Arabidopsis thaliana: one gene and its partner. The protein of the gene in region 1 interacts with the protein of each later gene in a pairwise test. Each region holds a gene or a part of one and is shown on either strand. Other genes may lie near its edges.

Region 1 (3,473 bases):
AATCGTCGAATGTTACCCATTCGGGTTGAACCGAACCAACCAATTCAATCATCTCCTCATCGTCCTTAACCGTAGTCTGAACCAAACCGGCCAATTCAATCATCTGCTTATTGTTTTTCTTTTCTGTTTCAGCCTTCAACATCTCAACCAAACACCAAAAATCATCCGCTAGACGTCTGCAACGCCAAAATAATCCACTCAAGCTCTCCTTGCATTCTACAAGTCTCACCAAAAGCAGACTAAAATCGTTCAGACCGAGATCACCAATAGGTTTAACACCCGGTTTAATCAATCGTTCAAACAACACCTGAAGCCGTACCATAACCAATCTCACAATCTTGAAATAGTCTTCAATCACTAGCTCTCTAATCTCGTCCACGATCTTGTTTTGGAACATAGGCGGAATCTCAGGTCTGGTACATATATGCTCAAAAAAACTCACAAGAGAATCCGTTTGTCTTATAATATACCCGGTTTGGTAAGACGAAACACGATCTTTCTCTTCAACTTTATCTTTTGGATTCACCAACAAATTTGGAAAAGATCCTAATACCTTCGGAACCCACGAGAGACGATCCAAGTATTGTCCATACCTAAGTTACATTTTTTTTTTAAAAATGTCGGTATGAACATGTCCAAATTATTAGATAAATATCACAATCAAAAAAGAGAACTAAAAAATCTTTTTAAAAGAAGAAGTAAATTACCATCTAATCCACTGAGACAATTCTAGCGTGAGATTAGAAGATTTGTCTGAAAACTCGTTCAACTTTAGATTGTTTCGACCATGACCTAGTCCTTCAAACTTGTCTCTTGATGATTTGATAAGCTTGTGGATGACGATGAGAGACTTGGTGGCCACAATAGCGTTCTTCGTGACACGTAACCTCCACAGAGCCGCTGAGAAAGCCGCCGGAGCGTAACGGCTGTTGGAGTAAGAGATAACAGCGGAGACATAGTCACTGTTTGGTGGTTTGTTAGGAGTACGAGTTGTTGACTTCAAGAGGGCTAAGTGAATGTATTTGACGGCGGTGGACCCGAAACTATGAACCAATCTTGCTTTGCCTATCGAAGCTTTGTCTTTGAATTTTCCGATTATGTGAGTTTTGAGTCCTGGCATTATCTCGATGGAACTAGATGAAAAAAAAATTGAAGCTGTTTTGCTTTGTGAGGTTGGAATTTGATTTTTATAAGCGTCCAATGTTTGATTCGCTTTCCATTTTCTTATAGTTTCCTTTTAAATCTTTTTTATATACGTGAGTTTCCTTTTGCAATCATTCAAAATTAACATTATTTTTTTGGTCGACATCCAAATTTGATTAATTTTACTTTTCTCAACTATTAATTTGGTAATATATCTTTTCATTCTAAAGTCGTCGTTCATTCATTTTATAAAACTTATATTAAACATGACGAGTTCATATTCAACCTCATAAGACCAATAAAATGTTGTTATTTGTTAAATAAAATGTTGATAGGAATGTTATAGAATAAGTCTGGCAACTACTTTGTTATTTCTATTACATATATAGTTTATTTGTATTGACTATTGACTTTACACCAATGTTTTTTTTATTTGTATTGTAAATGAATAAGTTTACCAATGTTATATTTAACGAATAGGTTTACCAGTATTGTCATTTATCTAGTATCTAATTAAAGATTAGAAAAGTCAATACAAATTAACTATATAAGTAATAGTAATAACAACCACACTGCAGCCACCAGCAAATTCCATTAACAAAATAAAGATCTCGAAAATTTGAACACCAATTTACGATTTTTTAACGTCAACATGAATGATATATTCATAAAAATGTGTTGAGAACAAATTTGGTCAAGTCAAGCTTTAGATCCGTAAGAATAATTGATTCATGGCTTCTTCCGCATAAACACATAAATCAAATTGTATATGTGAATTTCGGCATTGACAATTTTGGTAACATATGACGTGGATGCTGAGAAAGTAATTCTTATTGGTTATTAACACAGGACGCGGATCGTAAAGATACAAACATTTCTAACCGTTGATAAGCCAAACAGATCTAACGGACAAAACACAATCACTTCCTCTCTACCTTTGAGTATAAAAAAGCCTCACAACATCACTCACTTTCCCATCGATCGCATTCTCACCGAATCAAATCCAAAAGAGCAAATTTACAATCTTGCGAACTCCTAAAATGGCTCGTACCAAGCAAACAGCTCGTAAATCCACCGGAGGAAAGGCACCAAGGAAGCAACTCGCGACCAAAGCTGCGAGGAAATCAGCTCCAGCCACCGGAGGAGTGAAGAAGCCACACAGATTCCGTCCAGGAACGGTGGCGTTGAGAGAAATCAGGAAGTATCAGAAGAGTACTGAGCTTTTGATCCGTAAGCTTCCGTTCCAGAGATTGGTTCGTGAGATTGCTCAAGATTTCAAGACGGATCTGAGGTTCCAGAGCAGTGCCGTCGCAGCTCTTCAGGAAGCAGCTGAGGCTTATCTTGTTGGGCTCTTTGAAGATACTAATCTCTGTGCGATTCATGCTAAGAGGGTTACGATTATGCCTAAGGATATCCAGCTTGCGAGGAGAATCAGAGGAGAGAGGGCTTAAGTGAACGAAGATGATGAAGATTAAGAAGACTAGTCGTTTAGTTATGGATTAGCTTGTTTGGTTTCAATGGATATGTAAAGCTGTCTCTTTTCGTTTTCGAGTGTTATTAGTTTTTTACTTAGATGTGTCTTCCAGATGTTCGATGAAATGCCTAAAGGAAATTTTAATCTACTGTTGTCTAATCTTTTGATTCGTTCTGTCGATCTCCATATTTCTGCCACGCTTAAGAATCGTTTATCAACGGAAGAGTTAATTTTTTGCTCGATGAAATTGTCCAAATTGATTTGCAATAGTAGCTGCTTAGGGATTCTCAGTCTTCTTCTCCATGAACAAAACATTCTACAAATTCTTATTTAGAACTAAATCATTCACTAAACGTAAGAAAAGTATCGGTTCTTTACAAAATCAAAGTGAGAATTCGCAGATTGTTCTATTCCTGGTTATACCATCACAGTAAGAAATCCTCCAAATTATTTTACTTAATGCGTAGATTTGCTGAATAAGAGTAATGTAATTTCTCGAAATTTGTAACTTCAGGCTAAATTTGTTATGTAAATTTTGAAATAATTTCATCCTTATTTTCTACGATTGAATTTTTTTGAGACCCTTCATAGCCAAAATTTTCGATTTGGCGCCTAAAATTAAAAGATTTGGAAGTAGCGCAAAAGCCTACGTGGACTGAAAAGGATGATTTAAATTGGTTGATAGTAAATGACACGGATGGCCGGAATTTTAGTCTATTTTAATTCGTTGATAAGGTCTCACACGGATTTATACCTGATGATCTCAGCCGTTGATTGAAATATTTAATCCAACGGACAAGAATACAACTTTCCCTCCAAAAACAAAACTCCCTCCCATGTTTTTTTCACCTCACCG
Region 2 (5,655 bases), on another chromosome or scaffold:
AGATTCCATGGTGTTTTGGTTAAGCAACCAGAAGCAAGCAAGATGAAGAAGACTGCGCGTGTGTGTGTGTCTCGCTTAGCCTGTTGCTTTTGGTCTTTTCTATTCCTTTTCTCAATTTATTAAATATCTTTATTCGGTGAAAAAAATATACAGTATATTTCTTAGAAACTTTATAATAAGAATAAGGATTTTGTTTTTATATTTTCCTAAATTCCATAAATCTCTTAAGTTTACAAATTCATATATCTTTTAACATTTAAACAAATAACCAGACTTCTAGTAATATATATAAATTTATTTAGGGAGTGTTATTGGTTTGTGATGTATTCGAAGTTTCAGTGACTTAAAATGTTATGAAGAATTTGTTGTTATTCAATAAAGATTTTTCAATTTTTTGTTAAAGTTTGGTGTTATTAGTTTAAGATTTGTAAAAAGTAATATAAAATCTTCATAAATGTAGAGTTATTGGATTCATATTTTTATAAAGTTATTAAATTTTTTGTGTAATTCATTTAAAACAAAGAATCTATGATTATTATAATGAATTAAATTATTGTGTTATTGGTTTATGACTTTCTACCCTTTTTTTTATAAAATAAAGTTGTGAAAAATATCATACCCTTTTTTTTTACAAAATAAAGTTGTGAAAAATATCATAAAAATAAAGAAATTGTTTGAGAAACTTTACAAAATTATTAAAAACTAATCAACAAGTTTATTAATGACCTTAAACCAAAATAGGTACATATAATATTAGATAGATCATGCAAATGCGTTTGGTGGTTATGTTACTTTTGTATCATTTGATTGGCATGATGTTCTACATTTTTTTACCATTTCTCTATTCTTAAGTCGAAATCTTTAGGACCAAATAAGCATTTTTCCCTAAACTAACAAAGCAGCATCTCACTAGATGTTTTCCAATCAGATTTGCTTACTATAGTGTGCTAATATGAAATTTGAGTGACTCATGACAATGCATCAATCCAGATTAAGCATTAACATGTGATCAGCTAGCATTCATGAGAATATGAGAATTGTCTTCGAGCTAAAAGAAAGTAGACTCTTTTTTCACTTGAGAAACTCATGACATACTTTTTTTTTATATACATTTGTTTTTTGATGATTAGGTTAAACTTTTGTAATAAATAAATTTTTAGTTAAATAAATAAACTTCTATCATCAAAAGACTCGTGAGTTTCTTCCTATGTTGCAATGAAATGGAAACGAAAACGCGAATACGAAACGTTTCGGAAACGAGAAACGATTTTTTCTTAAAATTAGGGATTGGAAACGATTTTTTCTTAAAATTAGGGATTGGAAACGTATACACATACATACATATATATATATATATATATATAACATTAACATAAAACTATATTAAAGAAAAAATGGTTTAAACAATACAAGTCCAAAACATCAATATTAAATAAATAAACTAAAATTCTAAAAGATAAAAATTAAAAGGTTCAAGTTCAAATAGTTAATTTAGACCAACATTTTCATTTTCATTAGTTTCATCAAAGATAATATAAAGCTCTTTTCAAATCTGGTTTATCAAAAGAAATATCTTAAAACTCAAAGTCTTCCAAAATTAGTTATATGTATTAATAATTTTAATAATTTTAATTTTAGTTATTAAATTTTCAAAGTTGAAAAAAATTTGTCGTATGTCTATTTGGGAAACATGAGTTTCTATCTTTAAAACGTAAGTTTCCATCGTGTTTCCAAACATAAATTTTTAAAAAACGCGTTTCCGTTACGTTTTTCATGTTTCCGGAGAGTTTCTGTTTTCGTAACGTTTCGGAAATGGGAAATAGACCTCGGGGCGAGTTTCCATGCAACCTAGATTTCTTCTAACCAATAGAAATGCTCTTAAAAGCCTTTTTTTAAAAAAAATCAACAGAAATGCTCTTAAATGTTAAAAACAAATATTCATGCCAAATTTTGATGTAAAAATTTGTTATTTTCGCTTTAGTTGTGTCTTATTTCGGTCTGGTCATTTTCTCAAAGCCCTTTTAGTTATTTATATATATATTCTCTGTCTCGTATTTGTCCCCAAAAATCTAGGGTTTTAAGGTTTCTTATCCTTCCTCTTCCTCCGCCAGATTCTTTTCTTGCGAAGATGAGCAACGACAAGGACAGCATGAACATGTCCGATCTCTCCACCGGTAAGATATTATAATCTTATTGTCCTATAGAATGAGGCCTGGATTCTCTTTTGTTCTCTTGATTTATTGAAAAAAGCTTCTCTTGTTTTGTGTTTTGCTTATAGCTCTTAACGAGGAGGATCGTGCCGGGCTTGTTAATGCTCTTAAGGTGAGTTTTTTCTTCACGATATGATTTGCGTATGACTATCTGGAGATTGGGCTATTCATCTTTGTAACTTTTAGGGATTGTTTTCTCTTCCTGACTAGTTTTGAGAAATTGATTTGATTCTTATGGCTTAGAGAATTTGACTTTGGTTTTGAGGATTGTCTATGCATCTTAATTTGGTTGTTTGAAAGTTTGTGACTTTTCCTGATTTGATTTACGTGTTTGCTGCAGAACAAGTTGCAGAATTTGGCTGGACAACACTCTGATGTCCTTGAAAACTTGACTCCACCAGTCAGGAAGCGTGTCGAGTTTCTAAGAGAGATTCAGGTGAGTAAATTTTCAGCTTTTAGATGATCTTGGATTTTGTATTGGTTTTGAATTAGCTGGCTGTTCAGGTCTAATGAGTTTTTGGTGGAGCAAATTTATCTGATTCCTTTTGTATTTTAACCTTTGCAGAACCAATATGATGAGATGGAAGCAAAATTCTTTGAGGAGAGAGCAGCTCTTGAAGCTAAGTATCAAAAGTTATATCAGCCTTTATATACCAAGGTTTGAATACGGTCTTTGATTCTGCGAGATTCTTATGGTCTTTAGTTTCCTATTATTAGAATATCTTTGAAACACATGATGACACCTCAATTGATAAAGGTTTAATAAGACTTCTCTCTGTTGCTACTTACGTGAATGATTAGTGCTTCATGGTTTTCACTTCTTTCTGCATCATTCGTGATTGTAACTGATATTGATGGTCTTCTGCCTTCTGCATCACAGCGATATGAGATTGTGAATGGTGTGGTCGAAGTTGAAGGTGCAGCTGAAGAAGTAAAATCCGAACAAGGAGAAGATAAATCAGCTGAAGGTGTGTTTATCGATTCTTTTACTGAAACATGTTTATTTTTAGTATCTTATGATGATGATGGTGAACTCATGATTTTTATATGATATGAAACTGTCTTTCTGCAGAGAAAGGAGTACCAGATTTCTGGCTTATTGCATTGAAGAACAATGAAATTACTGCGGAAGAGGTTCGTTATTAGAATATTCTTCTTTTTGGTTTATAAAATGGCGATTCTCTTTATCATTATGTGGTTTTTTCCACGGTTTTAGATAACTGAGCGAGATGAAGGGGCTCTCAAGTATCTCAAAGATATCAAGTGGAGTAGGGTTGAAGAACCAAAAGGGTTCAAGCTTGAGTTTTTCTTTGATCAGAATCCTTACTTCAAGAACACTGTCTTGACCAAGACATATCACATGATTGATGAAGATGAGCCTATCCTTGAGAAGGCCCTCGGGTAATGTTTTGCTCTATCAAGTATTTACTGTTTATGTTCTGAAGACAATAAGTCTTTATTGACTGTCGTTTACTGCTGTTCAGGACGGAGATTGAGTGGTATCCTGGAAAGTGTTTGACACAGAAGATTCTAAAAAAGAAGCCAAAGAAAGGATCCAAAAACACAAAGCCGATCACTAAGACTGAGGACTGTGAGAGTTTCTTCAACTTTTTCAGTCCACCTCAAGTTCCTGACGATGATGAGGATCTTGATGATGACATGGTATTTCCATCTCCATAAGCAGTTTAGTTTTTAGAGTCAGTAATTAAGATTGTGTTGGATTTTAATCTGATCATCTAATATTCACAGGCTGATGAACTCCAAGGACAAATGGAGCATGATTATGATATCGGGTGTGTACCTTTCTATTTCATATTCAGTTCTCTTCACTTAGTTCAGTTCTAGGATCTGAGTCTGTCCACTGTTTATCCTGTAGTTCAACAATCAAAGAGAAAATCATCTCGCATGCTGTGTCATGGTTCACTGGTGAAGCTGTTGAGGCAGATGACCTTGATATTGAGGACGACGATGATGAGATTGATGAAGATGATGATGAAGAGGACGAGGAAGATGATGAGGATGACGAGGAGGAGGATGATGAGGATGATGACGAGGAGGAAGAAGCAGATCAAGGAAAGAAGAGCAAAAAGAAGGTAAATTATGTGGTTTTGTTCTACTTAAAACCTTCCTACATAGGAAACTAAAACCTCTGAAACTGATTTGGTGGTTTATCTTTTGTTTTGTTGCAGTCATCAGCTGGGCACAAGGTTTAACAATCAATCAATCTCGATCTTTTTTTTTTGTTGATAATGCAATGGCTAACCTGAGGTATCCTTTTTTAATGAACAGAAGGCTGGAAGAAGTCAACTTGCGGAAGGTCAAGCAGGTGAGAGGCCACCGGAATGTAAGCAGCAGTGAAGAAGTGAAGAATCTTGGCTTAGTTATGATGAAGAAGAAGAGTGAAGAGTGTCTTTGAGCCGAGGTTGTGTTTCTTTAATTTGCAGAGTCATGGTCCGGTTTATTATATATCAGTTTTGGGTGATTGGTTTGCTATTTAAAAAAAAAAAATGGGTTCTTTGGTTTGGTTTGTGTCTCTTGATTTTTCCTTTTGTAATGATCTTATGAATTTGTTTCGAGTTAATGTCGTTCTCTGGTCAGATTTCGAATTCAATTCTATTTATCCTCCCTCGTTAATGAGAGAATTTGTGAGACAATCTAGTTTACTTAAGATTGATCGAATTTTATAAACCAACATTACCAAACCGTCAAATAATTAAAACCAATCAATCTTATTTATCGGTTTGCATAACCCATCAATGAGCCGGTTTAGACATCGGTTTGAGTTTCTCTGGGAAAGACAAAAGTCAAAAACATCTCTGCCGACTTGTAAAAGACCGATCAACAGAAACCCAAAAAAAATAGTTGAAACGGAGGGAAACGAAAACCTAAAACCCTAAAAAACTCTTCCTTTTTTTTTTCCAGTGAAATTTCTCTTCTTCTCCGTTTTCATACAAGTCTGACTTCTGGGTAGTTGGAATTTTCCAGTTTTTGGTTTGTTTCTGTATCTGTGGTTTAAAAAAGTGGAGAAGAAGCTTTTTAGTGCTTTTCTATGGCGAGGATTCTCCGAAACGTTTATTCACTGAGAAGCTCTCTGTTTTCGTCAGAGGTATGTTTATCGTGTTTCTCATTTGGGTATTACGAGAAATTAAAAAAACTCTGTTACTGTCGTTTTCATTGCTTATTTGGGTATTCATTCATGAGAAAGAATCCGAAATGTTGTCTCTTAATTTGAATTCATTCTTTTTTTCTGGGTAATGTTTATTGACAAGGGTTTCATGGGGTTTTGCAGTTACTTAGAAGAAGTGTGGTTGGAACATCGTTTCAGCTCCGAGGCTTTGCTGCCAAAGGTTGTCTTAAGCTTTTACCTTTTGTTTCTATGAATCGATTTTACTCAAATTGGTTTTTGATTTTGATGAATATATGTATTTCCACAGATTACTAGAGC

Evidence for each region.
Region 2: the proteins of AT5G10400 (region 1) and NAP1;2 interact in a protein complementation assay, tested with the Arabidopsis thaliana proteins (one study listed by BioGRID).

What each region holds. Positions count from the first base shown.
Region 1 is NC_003076.8:3,269,599-3,273,071, reverse strand, and holds AT5G10400 (Histone superfamily protein), read left to right. Parts: upstream 1-2,114; 5' UTR 2,115-2,183; coding exon 2,184-2,594; 3' UTR 2,595-2,900; downstream 2,901-3,473. Other genes in the region: AT5G10410 (ENTH/ANTH/VHS superfamily protein), read right to left, coding at 1-593, 708-1,120. UniProt on the Arabidopsis thaliana protein: Core component of nucleosome. Nucleosomes wrap and compact DNA into chromatin, limiting DNA accessibility to the cellular machineries which require DNA as a template.
Region 2 is NC_003071.7:8,436,473-8,442,127, forward strand, and holds NAP1;2 (nucleosome assembly protein 1;2), read left to right. Parts: upstream 1-1,983; 5' UTR 1,984-2,128; coding exon 2,129-2,174; intron 2,175-2,278; coding exon 2,279-2,322; intron 2,323-2,550; coding exon 2,551-2,646; intron 2,647-2,775; coding exon 2,776-2,868; intron 2,869-3,090; coding exon 3,091-3,178; intron 3,179-3,282; coding exon 3,283-3,344; intron 3,345-3,426; coding exon 3,427-3,611; intron 3,612-3,694; coding exon 3,695-3,872; intron 3,873-3,959; coding exon 3,960-4,003; intron 4,004-4,086; coding exon 4,087-4,303; intron 4,304-4,399; coding exon 4,400-4,417; intron 4,418-4,499; coding exon 4,500-4,568; 3' UTR 4,569-5,029; downstream 5,030-5,655. Other genes in the region: RECA2 (recA DNA recombination family protein), read left to right, coding at 5,260-5,316, 5,500-5,557. UniProt on the Arabidopsis thaliana protein: May modulate chromatin structure by regulation of nucleosome assembly/disassembly. May function in nucleotide excision repair (NER). Involved in somatic homologous recombination.